Linked DNA regions of Oryctolagus cuniculus. The protein of the gene in region 1 purifies or fractionates together with the protein of each later gene. This does not show direct contact. Links are inferred from orthologs where the notes say so. Each region holds a gene or a part of one and is shown in the gene's direction. Other genes may lie near its edges.

What was found. The genes of interacting proteins can lie anywhere in the genome.
Region 2: the proteins of MYCBP (region 1) and OTUD4 purify together in Homo sapiens (co-immunoprecipitation; 3 studies listed by BioGRID and IntAct, with this or other methods). This does not show direct contact. The link is inferred for Oryctolagus cuniculus from reciprocal best matches to the Homo sapiens genes MYCBP and OTUD4.
Region 3: the proteins of MYCBP (region 1) and SPAG5 purify together in Homo sapiens (co-immunoprecipitation; 3 studies listed by BioGRID and IntAct, with this or other methods). This does not show direct contact. The link is inferred for Oryctolagus cuniculus from reciprocal best matches to the Homo sapiens genes MYCBP and SPAG5.

What each region holds. Positions count from the first base shown.
Region 1 is NC_091438.1:133,964,578-133,970,676, forward strand, and holds the start of MYCBP (C-Myc-binding protein), read left to right. Parts: upstream 1-2,755; 5' UTR 2,756-2,806; coding exon 2,807-2,890; intron 2,891-3,085; coding exon 3,086-3,158; intron 3,159-6,099. Other genes in the region: GJA9 (gap junction alpha-9 protein), read left to right, coding at 195-1,739. UniProt on the Homo sapiens protein: May control the transcriptional activity of MYC. Stimulates the activation of E box-dependent transcription by MYC.
Region 2 is NC_091439.1:19,610,439-19,616,433, forward strand, and holds the start of OTUD4 (OTU domain-containing protein 4), read left to right. Parts: upstream 1-2,341; coding exon 2,342-2,500; intron 2,501-2,512; exon of another isoform or gene 2,513-2,696; coding exon of another isoform or gene 2,697-2,723; intron 2,724-2,937; exon of another isoform or gene 2,938-3,053; intron 3,054-3,738; exon of another isoform or gene 3,739-3,850; coding exon of another isoform or gene 3,851-3,940; intron 3,941-5,995.
Region 3 is NC_091448.1:44,103,388-44,109,197, reverse strand, and holds the start of SPAG5 (sperm-associated antigen 5), read left to right. Parts: upstream 1-2,156; 5' UTR 2,157-2,298; coding exon 2,299-2,349; intron 2,350-2,602; coding exon 2,603-2,728; intron 2,729-5,810. UniProt on the Homo sapiens protein: Essential component of the mitotic spindle required for normal chromosome segregation and progression into anaphase. Required for chromosome alignment, normal timing of sister chromatid segregation, and maintenance of spindle pole architecture.

The sequences.
Region 1 (6,099 bases):
AAATACATTCTTATTTGGATGATCACTGCTATTTTGGGAAAAAGCAAAGCAAGGAGCGCATGTAAATAGTGATGCTTTTTTCTCCTTTGGCCACAGGTTTGCTTTAACAAAGGAACGGTACTCCCTTCAGAGTGGAAGGATTTCCCTGCCTTCTATCTGATGGGGTTCAGAGCTAAGATGGCGGCTGAATAAACATGGGGGCCTGGAGTCTCCTGGGACGTATTCTAGAGGAAGTTCACATCCACTCCACCATGGTCAGCAAGCTCTGGCTCACCATCCTGTTCATATTCCGAATGCTTGTTCTGGGCATAGCAGCTGGAGAAATCTGGGAGGACGAGCAGTCTGGCTTCATCTGCAATACGGAACAACCTGGCTGCAGAAACGCATGCTACGACCAGGCCTTTCCCATCTCCCTCATTAGGTACTGGGCTTTGCAGATGGTCTTTGTGTCATCGCCATCTCTGTGCTACATGGGCCATGCTTTGTACCGGCTGAGGGTTCTGGGGAAAGAGCGGCGGAGGATGAAAGCCCACTTAGAACCGGAAAGGGTAGGATTCGAGACGTCTGGGGATCAGAGGAACCTGGAGCCAGAGCTTTGGCAGCTGGGACAGAGGAAACGGAGTAAAGCTCCACTCCCAGAAGCCCTACTGTGCACCTACGTGATACACGTTCTCACTCGCTCTGTGCTTGAAGTCAGCTTCATGATTGGACAATACCTTTTATATGGATTCCACCTGCAGCCTCTATTTAAATGCCACAGGCAGCCCTGTCCAAACATAATTGACTGTTTTGTCTCACGACCAACAGAAAAGACAATATTCCTATTATTTATGCAATCCATAGCCACGGTTTCACTTTTCTTGAGCATTCTAGAAATCTTCTACCTAGGGTTTAAAAAGATTAAAAGAGGGCTTTGGGGCCAATCTAAATGGAAGGGTGAACATAAGGAATTCCATGCAAACCAGTCCAAACAAAATCAGAGGGCACCTGCCAAGTCGCCAAAGCGACTCCCTCCTGCGCCTGGTCATCTCTCAGCGGAAAAGCAAACACACAGGGCAGTGCACCCTAGTTTAAATCCATCTCCCCCATTCCAGGCAGATCCTGGCAGTCACAGTGTAAATGACCAGCAATGTGCTCTGGATGAACCAGGAGCTGTATTTTCTGATAAGATGCGTTCACTTCATACTGCTTACAGTCATCTTCAACACATCCGCTCCAATCATAGCAAAGATCCTCATAAAACATTTGGAAAAGCAGCTAATGGGAACCAGTTAAGGGAAAAAAGAGCAACTGACGGCCAAGACAGCCAAAGGAACCACTGCAGCAGAGGTCACTGTTCTGTGTCAAGTGTTGCTGGAGACCTGGACAACTACACCGAGAGGTTGCCCCAAGCAGGTGTCTCTCTGCCAGCTAACCACACCTGGAAACCGAGGTGGCTCAGTGCCACGCGGGGGCCCTCCACAGAAGGTGGAAACTGGAGGTCACCTCCAAATGGTCACCTCATTCCAAACGGCAACCTCGAGGGCCAGTTCCTGGAGGGCACAACCAGCACCTTCCCACCCTCACAAGGGAACTCCCAGCTGCTTCCTGTTCCACAGGGACCCTGCTCTTTGAGAGAGCCGTCCTGTGAGCCTGGGTTGGTCAGACCCTGCAACAATCCTGTTTGTCCTCCAAATCCTGCAGTGTCCTTGACCAACAGCCTCGCGGGGAGGCGGCTTCCCACCGACCTCCAGATCTGAACAGCTCTGGCTTCTGGACCCGGTGCGCCCTACGTTATCAGCGAAGTAGCCTCGCCCAGGCGGAGCACGGACAAAACGGCCAGGGGCAGCTGTTAGGGCTGTGGCAACTGCGACTCATCTGTGCAGGGACACTTCTGAATTCAAAGACCAAGGGTTGCCAGGTCAGGATTTTTCTTATCTTCATTTTCTATAGCTCTCTTTAGAATGTGTGAAATCCACTAGGTGAAAACCACACGTTCAGCATCGCGGCTACGTGGTTTGGAGCCAGGTTTCCTACTTGGGAGGGGCCCATGGCTTTGGGAAATTGCTCTTGATCCCCATAGCGCCTTCTTTTAGCCCCTTTATCCTCTATCTTTGGACAACGGTGTGTGTGTGTGTGGGGGGGGTGATTTTGTATTTTGTGTATCCTGGGACTCCATAGCGTAGTTTCTTTGTGGACTGCAACCTCAGGTGTACGAAGTGTAACCACAATAAAATACTACACACATCTGTGGCTGTCTCCCACCGGCCTCCCGCATCGTCACCGGTCACCCAACCTCGCCACTTCACCGGCAGCTCGCACACGGCAGGGAGGCTGTGAGGATTCACGCGAAAGCACCCGTGAGCGCTCCGCGGCGCCGGCAGCTGCCGGAGCACGTGGCCGCTCGCCCTCCAGGGCCCGCACCCAGATGTGGGCGCCGCAGCCAGCACGCTCACGCCTCAGCACGCACCTTCGGACACTGGAAACGCACGGATCCCCCAGCGCCCACCGTGCGCGCGCTTCCGGGACGACCGCCCCTCCCGCCCGCGCGCTCGAGGGCCCCGCCCCCTGGCGCCACGCCCCCTCCGGCCGCACCTGGACGCTAGGCCCCAGCTCCCGAGACCTCGCTTCTCCCTCTGCAACCGAATCGCCGCGGCGACCGGAAGAGGCGCTGCTCGGACAGCCCGAGGGGCGGGCGCACGCAGCCTCCCTCGGCTCTGCCCCCGACTGGGGATCCAGAGCGTCCCGGTCGCCATGAAAACAGGCCACACCCCGGCCGCCCCGGCCCGTGGCTCGCCAGTGCGCAGTCGCGTGCGCCCTGCTGCGCATGAGCAGTGCCGGCCGGAGCCCGCCAGCCACGGTCTCCGGCGCCAGCGACGCCGCTGCCGCTGTCACTATGGCCCATTACAAAGTGAGGGGGGCGCGGCGTGGCTGGGGGCGTGTGGGCGGTCGCCAGCTGCGGGTCGGCGCCGGGCGGGAGTGGGAGCGCGCGCAGGTGTGGGGGGTCCCCGCGGTAGCGCGGTGGAGGCGGGGTTGCCGGACTCCCAGAGCCTTCTTCCTGCTCCGGCCCCTGGGCTTCGGCCCCTGACCCGCGGTGTCTCCTCAGGCCGCCGACTCGAAGCGCGAGCAGTTCCGGAGGTACTTGGAGAAGTCGGGGGTGCTGGACACGCTGACCAAGGGTGAGCATGGGCTCCGATAGGGCTCCGCGTGCCCCTCGCCCTGCCGCTCGGCGCTGCGCCCCCGGCGGGCCTCGGCGCGGGGAAGGAGGGCGAACAGGTGGGACCCGTCCGGGTCGCAGCGAGGTGGGCTCGGGGCCGGGCGCTGCCGGCCGCCGCGGGCGGGGCGGCCTGGCTCCCGCTCCCCGCTCTCCCCGCGCCGAGAGCGCAGCTCTTGCAGCTGTTGCAAAGTCGCTCCAACTTCCGCCGCTGTGCCTGGAGCAGCCGCAGTGGTCGTGTTTGCTGGAGACCTGTAGGTGCCGGTTCCTCCCGCCTCGGGGCGTTTGCGGACCCCCCCAGCCCCACCCCCACCCCGTCCCCTGAATCTTAAGACACATTTTTCCCTCCGACCCAGGGCAGCTGGGGAAAACACCAGATACGAAAGAGGGCTGTGCAGCACTCCTCGCTTCCCCCGCTGTCTTGGTCTAATTCAGTTCCTGCTGTGTGTAGATTTCGTATTGAAGGTAGAAATGCAGTGTGTGAAGCCCGAGGACACATCAGAATTTTTATATTGTGCACAAGCTTAAAGCTGGAAGTCCACTGTTACACTGTATCAGTGCCCGCGTGGGTTCAGGATCTACTGGGGGAGATGCTTCAAACAGCAGGGGTCCCAGAGGTGATAAGGGGTCTGCTTGCTTCTGAGCTCAGCAGTGTGTCGCCTGGCTCACTGGCTGGGATTTTCCAGGGTGTAGAACGGAATTGCTGGCAGAGATGAGACCAGGACCATGGGAAAAGAACAGGAAATGTCTGAGAAATAATTTGGTAACTGCTCTGTGTTCAGAAACGAGGGTTTGGGGGAAGCTTCTGGGCCAAGAACTCTCTGGTCTTAGAAGATGGTAGGGCTCTTAATTCCTATGCAGGGATGGCTGTTTGACTTGCTACCCACGTTGGGTTCGATACTAGTCTCCCTGTCTTTGCAAATACGTTTCAGCAAATGTGAAGGAATTCCTCTGTGAAAGGCTGTGCTGTGTTGTCACTGCAACTGTCGTGAATGCTTGGAATGTCATTCCCTCAAAAAATCCAGCAAACTCATTTCTTTAACCATTTTATTCAGGCCTCCTAGACACTGGGGATACAGTAGTGGGGGAAGAATGTCCCAGGCCTCATGCAGTAATATCCTAGCTGGGGAGACACAGCGTAGATAAATACTTAGTGTCAACTAGTGGTAAGTGTTAGGAATGCAAACCTAGCAAGGTTAGGGGGCCGAAGGTGGTGGGTGTGATTGTGCCACTCAGTCAAAGTGTGCGAGTACCAAGGCTTTCCTTTAGAAGTAACTTGCGAACAGAGACCTGAATGAAATGTTGAGTTCCAGGAAGTCTTACAGGTTGATCGTCTTTAAAATCCAGAATGCTCTGCTATCTGAAACATAGTGTCAGCATGACACCACAAGTGGGAAATGCAGCAGCTTGACCCCATGTAATGGGTGCCAGTCATAATGCACATTGTGTAAATTTACCCTTAGAAACACTGTGTCAGTTTGTCTTTAGGCAATATGCATAAGAGGTCTATGAAACAAATAAACTGTTTAGACTTGGATTCCATCCCTAAGATAGTTCATGTATATGCAAATATTCCAAAATCCAGAAAAAAAAAACAATCTGAAACACTCTGGCCCAGGCTTTTTGGATAAGGGATATCAAGGAGGCCAAAGTGGCTGGGTGGAGTGAGTGGCAGAAAGCCAAAACAGAGGACGATAGGATTTGGTAACTGACTGCACAGGAGAGGCACAGCCTTGTGGCCACGTGGGGTTTTTCCTTCATGAGGGTGGAAGATCCTGGAGCCGCCTTTTCCCTTGCACACACCCACTGCACTGTAACTCTTCATCTCCTTAGATTTCCACTCTCCGTAACACCAGTGTAGTGTCTACTGGTATAATTTAGTTTAGAGTTTTATTTTCAGCTTCAAACATAGGTTCTTTATACAAATTAGTTTTTTATCCAGCTATTTCCAAGAAGATTTGAACTGCTTATAACAAAATACTAAAAGAGAATGGCTAAAGATGATAGATCTTTAGAAGAGAAGGCATTTTAGTTATTTTGAGCACTATATCAACCTCTAAACATTCTAGCTGCCTAGGCAAAAAAGGGGAACATAATCAGGCAAAGAGTTTTCCTTCTCTTACTAAAAGGAAGTATATTTCATCTATAGAAAAGCACAGGAAACAACATTTACATTCGATTCTTTATTCAGGTTTTAAGGACCATGGACAAATTTAGAAACTGAAAGAAGTGGGGTGGGAGAGAAGGGGGAGGAAAGGGTAAGAGTATGAATATCCATGTCTCAGAAATTCAGGGTTCAGTAGAGCTCAGTAGGAATTAATGGAAGAAGAACAGGCTGGAGCATATGAAGAAAGAAGTAATAAACAGGGCTTAAAGAATACTGTAGCCGACACTGATGGAGAGGAGAGAGGACAGCGGGGGTGCAAATACACCAGCTTCTTAAGCAGCAGTGCCGTCAAGGTATTACATGGTTAAGTGGTTGCCTGTTTGATTTTTTTTCATACTCTATATTTTATCAAAACTGCAAAAGACAAAAGGGGGAAGCACGCAAAATGGCTTACAACAGGACTTCTTAGGATCTAGGGGCACATTTTTTTTTTTGCGTGTTCAATGTTTTGTTTCATGAGATCTTTCAAAGAGTTTCATTTACAAAAAGTCTAACTGGTTTAGTGAGATTTCTGAGTAGATTCTAGGAGGAATTTGTTCAATAGAAGAGCAAGGTGGTACTCATGTGAGCTATTGGATATGAAACCATCACAGTATATATTTTAATGTCGAATACTGGTGAAATTCTGGTTGGTGGTTATTTGTTATGCTATGTGTGAAACTTCGTTCTTGAAGAACATTTGAATTTGAGGCTTCCTCCAGTAATTACCATAGCCCTCTTTTTTTTTTTTTTTTTTGAC
Region 2 (5,995 bases), on another chromosome or scaffold:
CCCAAGTGCTTGGGCCCTGCACCGGCATGGGGGACCAGGAGAAGCACCTGGCTCCTGGCTTCAGAGCTGCGCAGCGTGCAGGCTGTAGCAGCCATTTGGGGGGTGAACCAAAGGAAGGAAGACCTTCCTCTCTGTCTCTCTCTCTCTCTCACTGTTCACTCTGCCTGTCAAAAAAAAAAAAAAAGAAAAGAAAAGGATGACTAATTGCTTCCATGGAAAATACTGAGAAAAGTGTTTCTGTGATTTTTGTTGGACTCTTGCCATCTGGCCTGCCTAACCCCAATTTTAGAGTTTATTTGGTTACATGTCGAAACCTACAGCAATCACCTTTCTTCTCTCTCCCCCCTAGCAGTCCCTCAACACTGGAGTAGGTTTTATGATTAACCATGACTTTAAATAGGGCAGCAGATGCTGTTGTGTTCTAGTAAAATAAAATTCTGGTTTCCCAGAAGCGTGCTGGGTAAATTCTGGGATCTGGAGCAGGACTCAACTTTGCCAATTCCCTACCATTCAACTTCGGAGGGTAGGTGTAAGGCCGCCATAGAAACACACCAAACACTGGAGTAAGCGAAAGAGTTTATTGGGGGAATCCCGACAGACTGGAGGGAAGGGGGTAGATCGCGCCATTTTACTAACAGTAGGAAGTTAAGATAGTATTTTTCTGCACTGCCGGAACAGGAAGTCTCTTAACAAGCAAGTGCAAGGTGATTTAAAAAAATTTTTTTTCACAAGGTGACTTTAAAAAACAGCTCTTTATTTGAAAGTCACAATGACAGAGAGGGAGGGACAGAAAGCAAAAAAAAATTTAAAAAATATAAAAAAAATTATAAAAAATAACTCTTCCAACTGCTGGTTCACTTCCCGAATGGCCACAACAGCCAGGGCTGGGCCAGGCCAAAACCAGGAGCCTGGAGCTCCACCCGGGTGTCCCACGTGGGTGCACGCAGGGGGCCCAAGTACTTGGACCATCACCCTCTGCTTTCCCAGGTGCACGAGTGGGAGCTGGATCGGAAGTGCAGCAGCCGGAACTGGAACTGGCGCTGGGATGTGGGGATGGCAGTGTCCCTGGCGGCGAGCTGGCCGCCCCAAAGGTGACTTTTTTTTAAGGGGGAAAAAAATAAACAACCCTCACGAACTTTGGTTAACAGTGCCATTGCTCCCTGTTGAGGATGCGCAACTAGGGACAGGGTGAACAAAACAAATCGTTGGCAACGGCATCATCTTGGCCCAGTGTGTGACCTGTTCTGATTTCTGAAAGGAAACCAGCAGCCCGCGGGGGGGATCTGTAGACCGCCTTGGTCGGTTCCACACGCTTTCGCCGATCAGTTCTATTTTCCTGCTTAAGCCGTTAAGGCCGCCTCTGTGGAGTCGCCAGGCAAGCGGGCCTCGGGGAGCCGGGCAGACAGGTGCGCCCTCTGTTTGGAAATACACAAAGGGCCGGCATCGCGGCCGCTGTGTCCCTGGCAACTCCACGCACGCGAGGCGCGCGCACTTCCCGCGGGCCCGCGGCGCACGGGGCGGCCGGGCGGGGCGGCGGCGAGCCTCGGCCTGCTCGCGGACGCGGCGCCTGGGACGCGCCAAGGCGGCTCCGGCGGCGGCGGCGGCGGCGCCCGCGCTGTAGGGACTTGTAGTCCGCGTGCCTCCCGGGCGCCTCCCCCCGGGTAGGCAGGCCCGGGCGTCCCCGTCCGCCGCAAGCCGACTTCCTGCCGCTGCCAAAAACTACACCTCCCGCCGTCCTCTCCGCGGCCGGGCCGAAAGCGAAAACAAAATTCTGAGCTGCCAGGGTGCTGCCCTCCGCCGGGCGCCCCCTCCCGCCGCCCGCCCCTCAGGCGCCCTCAGGCGAGGTGGGGAGACGCGAGGCCGCGGCTCTTTTCTTCTGGTTTCCTCAGCGCCCGGCGAGGGGAGCGCGCGGGGTAGGCGGGCAGGCCGCGGCTCACCTGAGCCGGCCCCGCGAGCGCGCCGGGGGCGGGGGCTTCCTCGCTCCACGCCGGTCGGGACCAGGAAACTCGTGCGGGCGGCGACCCCCGGCCCGGTTCCTGACTGGGCGGCGAGGCCCCCGGGACGCGACTCTCGTCCCTCGGGATTTTCTTCGCTCCCTGCCGCCCCACGCCGTCTCCTCTCTGGGCGCGTGGTCCCTCCGGGGAGGCGGTCGCGTGCGGCCGGCCATGCACTAGGCAGGGCTCGCCCTATGCGTCTGGGGAGCGCGGACCGCTGCCTCGGGCCGCCGCCTGCTGCCGCTCGCGGAGCCGGAGCCGGAGCCAGGCCGGGGCGTCGAGCTGCCGGCGGCGCGGCCATGTGGGGCTAGCCCGCGCCGCGCCTGGCCTGCAGCGGAACCGGCAACATGGAGGCGGCCGTCGGCGCCCCGGACGGCGGGGACCAGGGCGGCGCGGGGCCCCGCGAGGACGCGACGCCCATGGACGCCTATCTGCGGAAACTGGGCTTGTATCGCAAACTGGTCGCCAAGGACGGGTCGTGCCTGTTCCGGGCCGTGGCGGAGCAGGTAATGGGCGCGGGGAAGCCGGTGCGGCCGGTGGGGCTGGGTGGGGGAAGCGGCGGCGGCCCCGGGCCGTCCGGGACGCCCCCGTCCGGGGGGCTGCGCGTGGCCCGCGGCCGTCACCACCGCCCATTGTAACGCCCGAGTGCGGCGCCGCTTTGGGGTCTGCAAGCTGGCCTTGGAGATCGGGGGGCCTTGCGTTATGCGGGTGCCGTCTCTTGCTGACGAGGTAATGAGTGTGGGACGACGGGGAGGGGTGATGGTGCTGGCGACACGGTATTTTCCACTTGGGTGCCGCATTCGGCTTGCCGTGTAAAAAGAGCGTTCACGCCGGTAAACCGCATGTTTGCGGGAGGTGGTGGTGCCCCAGGCTGGACTTGTGGAACGTATTTTTCCTGCTAGTGGACTTTGGAATGTGCGGGAGTCCAGCTCGCCGCCGATGTCACTTGAGCCCAGGGAGCCGACTTCGCCATACGAGAAAGCCAGCCTTTGACAAAGAGAGTATTTTGAATGAATTGGCTTTGGGTGTAGTCCACACTTGCTCTGCAAGGCGGTGGAGGTATACTAAAAAGAAGTTACTTTTAACAGGGGGAAAAAAAAGACTTGTTTCGGTGTTGGCGGGAGGAAGGGTGTAACTGGGTGTTCTCTAGGCCCTTCCTGAACGGATTTTTACCCGTTAAATTTTTGTCCAATACAGTTGGTTAGCAAGATGCTTGTGATTTTGGGGGGGGGGGTTAATTTCTTTGGAGAAAGAGCTTGTTCCATGTTTTGCCACATCGTATTGGAGGTTTACGGTCACCCAAATCCATCCTGTATTGAAAAAATAGCTGCTGAGTAGTCCATCTTTAAAAAGTTTCACCTGACTGCCTTGGTTTGTATTTTGTGCCTTTCGCTGTTTGCCCTCCTTTGCCTTAAGGTGTGCTCCTCCCTACCCCCTATGGGGTTTTTATGTTGTTTGGTCTTTTTTTTCTGTCACCGTTTTTGAATGGTAAATAGCTTTTACAATTTCTATTGTGAGTAAATGTTTCACTTAACATGTTGAGTTCAGTTAGTTTCTCTCTCTCTCTCTTTTTTTAGTAGGAAAAGGCTAGTAGTTTGTTTTCCAAAGATCTTCACATCTGTAGTGTAAATCTTTTATAACAAGAAATTGATGTAACATAAATCTTTCCATTATATGCTACAGAGATTGTCATTGAAGCATTCCTAAAGCTCCCCAAACCAGGCTCTGCCTTTTTCAGTTCCTTAACTTTCTCTCATTTTCAGGAGTTTGAGATGCTCCAGTGTGGGTAGGATATGTTCACACACACCCACCCTAGTCCTTACTATTAGTAGGTAAACAGTCTGCCCCATTCATTTATGAATTTGCCGGGTCTCTGTCTGTTTTGCTTCTTCTGGCTCAGCTACTTTGGACTCCTGAGCACCTTCAGAAAGAGAGAAGAGGTAGAGGTAAATTCAGCTCATTTTATGTACTGTTAGCTTTAGCGAAAGTTTGGTAAGGAAGGATGTCGAAATTAATAAATATGAAGCGGAACTGGAAGCTTATTTGGGATTGAATTATCCAAGTCTTAGTTTTTATTTCTATTGGAGCAGAATGGTGTGTCTGCTTTCAGTATTACACGCTATAGTTGGATGAACTTGATTTTACTGAGGCCTGCTACTGTAGCGTGATCTCTATTTTTAAGTGGAAAGTTCTTAACGAAGCACTCATCAACATCAGGTAACAATTTATTGTATTTTTGCTTTGTAGTGATTTAAGGGAGATATAACAGACTACTCTATCCGGTTATGTGACTGATTTTTAGTATACTGGGGGAAGCTCACCTAATTCAGTAGATAAGGACCAAGTGTATAGCCATCTTGGCCAAAGGCAAAGTGTGCATGTGGGGAAAAGGGAAATAACACCCACTTCTGACTGCCCTTTTAAAGTATGTGCATAGGATTTGTTTTTATGTGAATAATTTTTCCTGTGAAATCACGAGCAGGTTATCCAAATGGCAGTGTTCAGAGATGGGGAGGAGACTTGAGTTAGGAGTCACTCTTCCTCTAAATTATCTGGTTTAGATAGGCCCTTTCCTTTTTACACTTGTAGATTTAGGCCTGCAGGAGGCCTGACCTGAATCAGTTCCATAGTCAGGGAGCTAAAAATAGGGCACTCTTAGAGGACTTGGTAAAATAGTGTGTCTCAGCCTTTTTCCAGTGTTTATCACTGTGTGGTCTCAAATAAAGATTTGAAAGCCTCCTATCTCTAGCTTATTTTCATCATACAATAATTTGCTAAGGTAGATGTTTGTCATACCATTTGAATCCTGAGTGTCCTTGAACTTGCACACTAACTTGCTTTTTAAACTTTTCATTTAACATTGCTTTTCTTGGCGGTATTTGTCTTTGTAAATTACTGGTAGCCCACACTTTAGGGGAGTTGTGAGAGTTTTGTTTCAGAGCAGTAGGTACAGATTGATTCCATTTAAGTCTGTTAAAAGGAAAAAAACCAGTAGATATGTCTTGCCATTGTTTCTGATACTAACATACTAACATATGTCTGCCACCTGTTGCTAGGTAAATGGCTTTAATGCCAGCTTCATCTTGCTAACAGCAGGAAAGGCCTATCAGATGACACTGTGGTTTTACTCATGCTAATACTACCTTGATTCATAATAGTGTTTAAGATAGCTTTTGTGCAAGGCAGTGTTGCTGAATGTCATTTGCTAAATTGGCAAGGAAAAAAGCAACAAAAACAATTATCTTATGGTGTTTATTTGTATATATGGACAATCTTTTTTGCACTGGAAGCTTAAGATATATAAGGATACTTTTTAATAATGTCCCAAGATGGCAATGAAAGTACACCCAGTTAAGCTGAAAGCCAACTAGTATACTGAAAACAAACTCATTGGAAATGTCAGCTAGTGCATCATCAGTGTATTTTAGTGCAGTGGGACATACTACCTGTGTGGTTCTGTGGGTATAAATGAACTTGACTCCAAGAGACCTACAGAATGTGATGCTTGAGCTCATCATGAACAGAAGGGAGAATGAAGTGGGAATATAACATTTATTTATTTGACAGGCAGGGTGAGAGGAGGAGAGAGAGGGAGGGAAAGAGAGACATAGATAGATAGATAACTTCCATCTGCTGGTTTACACCCCAAATGACTACAAGGATTGGGGCTGGTCCAGCCCAGAAACTCATCCTGGTCTCCCTAGATATGGGTGGCAGGGGCCCAGGTACTTAGGCCATCTTCCACTGCTTTCCCGGGAACATAAGCAGGGAGTTGGGTGGGAAGTTGGAGTAGCCAGGGCTCGAACTGGCATCCTGAGATGTGGGTGGTTTGAAGCCACAGCTTAACCTACTGAGCTATAATGCTGGCCCCTGGAGCTGTAACTTTTTAAAAAAGTTTTTTTAAAGTTTATTTTCATTTTATTTTTGAAAGAGAGAGACAGTGCATTAGCAGGAAATAGGAATTAGAAGTGGAGTTTGGACTCTCAGTCCTCAGATATGGG
Region 3 (5,810 bases), on another chromosome or scaffold:
GTTTGTACATAAGTGGTGGTGGTGGGGGGGAGCATTGAGAAAGAATATCAGAGAAGGGCTGGCGCCGTGGCTCACTAGGCTAATCCTCCGCCTTGCGGCGCCGGCACACCAGGTTCTAGTCCTGGTCGGGGCGCCGGATTCTGTCCCAGTTGCCCCTCTTCCAGGCCAGCCCTCTGCTATGGCCCGGGAGTGCAGTGGAGGATGGCCCAAGTACTTGGGCCCTGCACCCCATGGGAGACCAGGAGAAGCACCTGGCTCCTGGCTTCGGATCAGTGCGATGCACCAGCCGCAGCGCGCCGGCCGTGGCGGCCATTGGAGGGTGAACCAATGGCAAAAGGAAGACCTTTCTCTCTCTCTCTCACTGTCCACTCTGCCTGCCCCCTCCCCCAAAAAAAAGATTATCAGAGAAAAGAACCAAGGAAGGAGAAAGTAATTCTAGTGGAAAAAAAGGGGTGGTGGGGTGGGGGTGGGGGGTAGAAGACATAACCCACAGTCCCAAACACTCCAGTGTGCTTCAATTAATTTTGGGGAAAAATAAAATCAGTGCATATGTATGTGTATGTAAGTAAATGAAATAAAACCTCTATATGTGTGTGTACATGCATGTTTTTCTAAAGGGGAATATAAAACTGGTTACTGTAGGAGGGTGGAGTGTCTTTAATACATCTTTGCATTTTATGTATTGTCTCACTTGCTCTAAGCATCTTTTTATTTGAAAAAACACTTTTTAAAAGTTATAACATTTTGCCTTTTTTGTACAAAAGCTTCAAAATCCAGTGGGTATTTTACACCTAGGGCTACTCCCAATTTAGATTAGCAACATCTGGGTGCTCAACACCACGTGTTAGGCTAGTGGCTGAGGTATTGAACAGCCCAGTTCTAGAACAGCCTATAGCCTGAGGGCCCTGCAGTTCATAACCGACTATATATAGTTCCTCCCTTTGGGACTGCTGCTTTGCCCAAGTCATTAGGACTTCCAGAGTGTAAATAAGGTGCCCTGAGGCTTCAAAAGGAACACTCGCCCACCACTGATGAACTCTGAATACCTGCCTTTCGGCTGCTTTCAAAAACCAATCCCACTTTCAATGGACAGATTTCTCAAATAGGAGGAATGCAAGAGACAGCAGAATGTAGTGGGCTGTGTCTACTATGTGGGACCTCGGACAAACGACATACTCTTTCTAGGTTTCAGTTCCTTCGTCTATAAAATGGGGATGTTTACAGCCATTCCTACTTCGTAGGTCCTTATGAGGATTGAATGAGCGAATACATAGAAAAAGGCACTGCAAGAGCCAGCGCTGTGGCATAGTGGGTAAAGTCGCTGTCTACAGTGCCAGCATCCCATATGGGCGCCAGTTTGAGTCCCGGCTGCTTCATTTCCAATCCAGCTCTCTGCTATGGCCTGGGAAAGCAGTAGAAGATGGCCCAAGTCCTTGGACCCCTGCACCCATATGGGAGACCTGGAAGAAGCTCCTGGCTTTGGATCGTCGCTGCTCCGGTCATTGCGGCCAACTGGGGAGTGAACCATCGGATGGAAGACCTCTCTCTCCCTCTCCTTCTCTCTGTGTGTAACTCTTTAAAATAAATACATACATCTTAAAAAAAAAAAAAAAGGCACCGCACCAGGTACATAAATGCTCAACACAGTACATGGTAGCTACTATTCCGGTGGACTTGTCACAGGCCCCAAGGTCAGCTCCAGGCAAAGTCCAGAAGGTTGGCACAGGCACCGGGGCCCAGGTTGAGAACTACGTCCCAGGCCCGCACGGGTGTGAGGACCTAAGCACAAACTGCCCAAGCGTCAGGAAAAAGCACCCACTCACCCATCATCCTGGTCTCCCCGGCCTGCTCTTTCCTGTCAAGGCTGAGGCGATGCGTTACTAAGGGAGACCTGACGAGACCTGACAACTTTCCTGACGGGGTGTGAGGGCGGTCCACTGGAAGCAGGAAGGATGGAGTCCCCGACTCTCCAGCTACCTGTCCGGTCCTCTCTGATGTGCGGACACAACTCCCGCCTCCGACCTGGTCCGTGTCCAGTCCTCAAGCCGGCGTCTGAGGTAGAGTTGCTCGGGAGACGGCGCGCCGCGCGTGGGCGGGTCCAGCCTGAGGGGGCGTGGCTAAGCGAGGCCCCGCCCTCCGGGCGCCGCCGGGCTCCAGCCTCGAGCGACGCACCGTTCTGACGCACTGCGTCTCCACAGCCAATCGGGAAGCGCAGAGTCGGTTCAAATAAAGACGGCGGGTGGACATGGGGTTCGCGAATCTTTCGGGCAGGTGATCGATCTGCGTCTTGTGTTAAAGATGTGGAGGGTGAAGAAACTGAACCTCGGCCTGTCGCCTTCGCCTCAGCCGGTGAGCGGGAGGGTCTGGAGGAGAGAGCGCTGGGCCGGGGTATGGGGGCGAGGGGACCGGCAGTGCCAAGGTTCCCGGGAAACTGGGTCGAGTTGGGGGCGGGGGGCCCGAGGAGTCTTTTTGTGGCTACGGCTCGATAGGAGTGGGACCCTTACTCTTCTTTTTGACTCAAGGGCTTCTCCAGAAGGAAGGAGGCCGGGCTGGCAGAACCCGAGCTTCCTCACACTCACTGACTTCTCACGTTCCTTCTCAGGGGAAACCAGCTATGAGGACTCCTCTCCGAGAGCTCATGCTGCAGCCCAGTCCCCTCAGCAACTCTGGAAAAATGTCGCCTGCGTGCTCCTCGCTGACCCCATCGCTGTGCAAGCTGGGGCTGCAGGTGAGATTCGCCTGGACAGCTTCTCGCCTGGGCTGTTTGCCCAGGCCGAGAGCTCAGAGGAGCAGAGGGCCGGGGCTGGAACGTAATTAATAACGATAATGAAGTCTTCTACCTCAGTGACTTCTATTTACAGCTATTCAGGCCAACTGAGAGGTGCCCTCGGGTAGTTAAAAGGAAATCCACCGAGAACCTGAATCTCCATTTAGCTGGTAGCTGGGAGTTTTTATTACCTCCTTTCCCATTCGACCTTTATCAAACTGTTGGGATATACTAGCACTCTGATTGGTGGTCTCCCTCTAACATGGCTTAGGTATGAAGAGGTCTATTTGCTACAAGAATGAGCTGTCTCCTTCCACTCCAGGAGGTGGCCAAGTCTCTTGGGATCAAATTACATCAATGGAAGATAGGGTGCTTGGACTCCCTAGCTTATCCCTTGCAGACTGCCCTCAGTGAGTTGTACTTTTGTCAAAGATCTTGAAAGATGTAGCCATGTACAAACTGCTCTTCATTTGTTGTAAAAACTTGCCAAGGAAGCCAAATGACCCTTCTAGAAGGTTCCTAAAAGAAATATTTTTGATTTATTACCTGGGAAAATTATCTTCCTAAAGAAATTGCTATCCTTTTTGTAATGAGAACTGTGACTTTGCCATATTTTTCCTCTTTCTCTGGCTTCCAGAAAGCTTAGGGTCAAATTTGATGATTAGTGCCAGTTACTTTTTTTTTTTTTTTTTAAGATTTATTTTTTTGGGGGCCAGCACTGTGGCATAGGTTAAGCATCCACCTGCAGCACCAATATCCCATATGGATGCCAGTTAAAGACCTGGCTGCTTCATTTCCGATCCAGCTCCCTGCTAATGGCTTGGGAAAGTGCTTGGGCTCCTGCATCTACATAGGAGACCCCTAAGACGCTTCTGGCTCCTGGCTTTGGATCATTCCAGCTCTGGCCATTATGACCATTTGGGGAGTAAACCAGCAGATGAAAGGCCTCTCTCTGTGTTTCTCCCTCTCTCTATCTGTAACTCTGCCTCTCAGACAGAACTTGGGGGTGGGGGGAGGAGAGAGAGAGAGAGAGCAAGCAAGTGACCTTCCATCTGCTGGTTCACTCTCTAAATGGCTGCAAGAACTGGGACTGGGCCAGACTGAAGCCAGGAATTCCAACCTGGTCTCACACATGGGTGTCAGGGGCCCAAGTAATTAGGCCTGGTGCACTAGCATGGAACTGGATCAAATGTGGAGCAGCCAAGACTCAAACTGCACTCCAGTGTGGGTTGCCAGCATCACAAGCAGTGGCTTAACCTGCACCACAGTGCCAGTTCCTTTCCATTTTCATATGCTGACTCAGATCTTTCTTTACCTTAGAGAAATTTTATTCTAATATTTGTTTTAAACTTTTAAAAAGATTTATTTATTTATTTGAAAAGCAGCATTAACACAGAGAGAGAGAGAGATCTTCCAGCCACTGGTTCACTCCTCAAGTGGCCTCAATGGCTGGAGCTAGCCCTATCAGAAGCCAGGAGCCGGGAGCATCTCCTGGGTATTCTACGTATGTGCAGGGGCCCAAGTTCTTAGGCCATCTTCTACTGCTTTCCCAGGTACATTAACAGGGAGCTGGATTGGAAGTGGAACTGCTAGGACTCAAACCAGTGTCCATATAACATGCCAGCACTGCAGACAGCGGCTTTACCCTCTATACCACAGCGCTGACCCCTTAAATTTTTTTTTATTTAAATTTTTTATTTATTTATGTGAAAGGCAGAGATAGTGACAGAGATCTACCAACCACTGGTTTACTCTCCAAATGCCTGCATCTGCTATGGGTGAGCCAGGATGAACCTAGGAGCGCAGAATCTAGGTCTTCCACATGGGTGGCAGGGACCTAAGTACTGACTCCCAGGCTGCACATTGGCAGGGAGCTGTAATCAGAAGCAAAATCAGGATTCAAACCCAGGCACTCTGAGGTGGGATTCAGGCATCTCAACTGGCATTTTAATACCTACACCCTAACATTTGTTAATCAGTACCTCATCTGTATTATGTTCTCTTTTCTTCTGGAATTTCTTTTATTCAAATGTTAGGTTTCCTGGGTTTATCTTCCATTTTTCCTAGCTTTTCCCTCAGATTTATGTTTTCTTTGTCCTTTATCTTTCCTTTTTTTTTTTTTTTTTTTTTTTTTAAGGCTTATTTATTTATTTGAAAGGCAGAGTTACAGAGAGGCAGAGGCAGAGAGAGAAAGAGAGGTCTTCCATCTGCTGGTTCACTCCCCAAATGGCTGCAATGGCCGGAGCTGGGCCAATTCGAAGCCAGGAGCCAGGAGCTGCTTCTGGTTCTCCCATGTGGGTGGCAGAGGCCCAAGCACTTGGACCGTCTTCTGCTTTCCCAGGCTATAGCAGAGAGTTGGATCGGAAGTAGAGCAGCTGGTACACGAACTGGCACCAATATGGGATGCCGGCACTATAGGCGGCAGCCTTATCTGCTATGCCACAGCGTCGGCCCCTTTCCAATTCATTTTACTGAGATTTTTTTCTTTAAGGTAATTATTATTTCTGTAAAGTTTGTTTTGTATGTGTTAAATTTGAATATTCTTTAAAATTTTATTTATTTGAAAGAGTTAGAGAAAGGGAGAAAGAGAGAGAAAGAGAGATTTTTCATACACTGGTTCACTACCCAAATGGCTATAACAGCTAGGGCTGGCCTAAGCTGAAGCCAGAAGCCAGGAACTTCATTCGACTCTCCCACATGGGTGGCAGGGTCCCAAATACTTGGGCCATCTTCCACTGCTTTCCCAGGCACATTAGCAGGGAGCTGAGTCAGAAGTAGAGCAGCTGGGATTTAAATCAGTTCTCAGAGGGATGCCAGTATTACAGATAGAGGCTTTGAGCCTTCACTCACACCCCATCGACCTTTCTCTCTGTTTCTCTGGATATGAGTTGGAGTTAGGTATAGGGATGAGTAGGGTCACATTCAAGCTGCATCTCCCTGTGACATGGATAGATATCCTCAGCCTGTTTTTCACTATAGCTTAGTTCACTTGGAAGGACCCAAAGTGGCTTACCTACTTATCTTCCCCTACTGTTGAATCTCT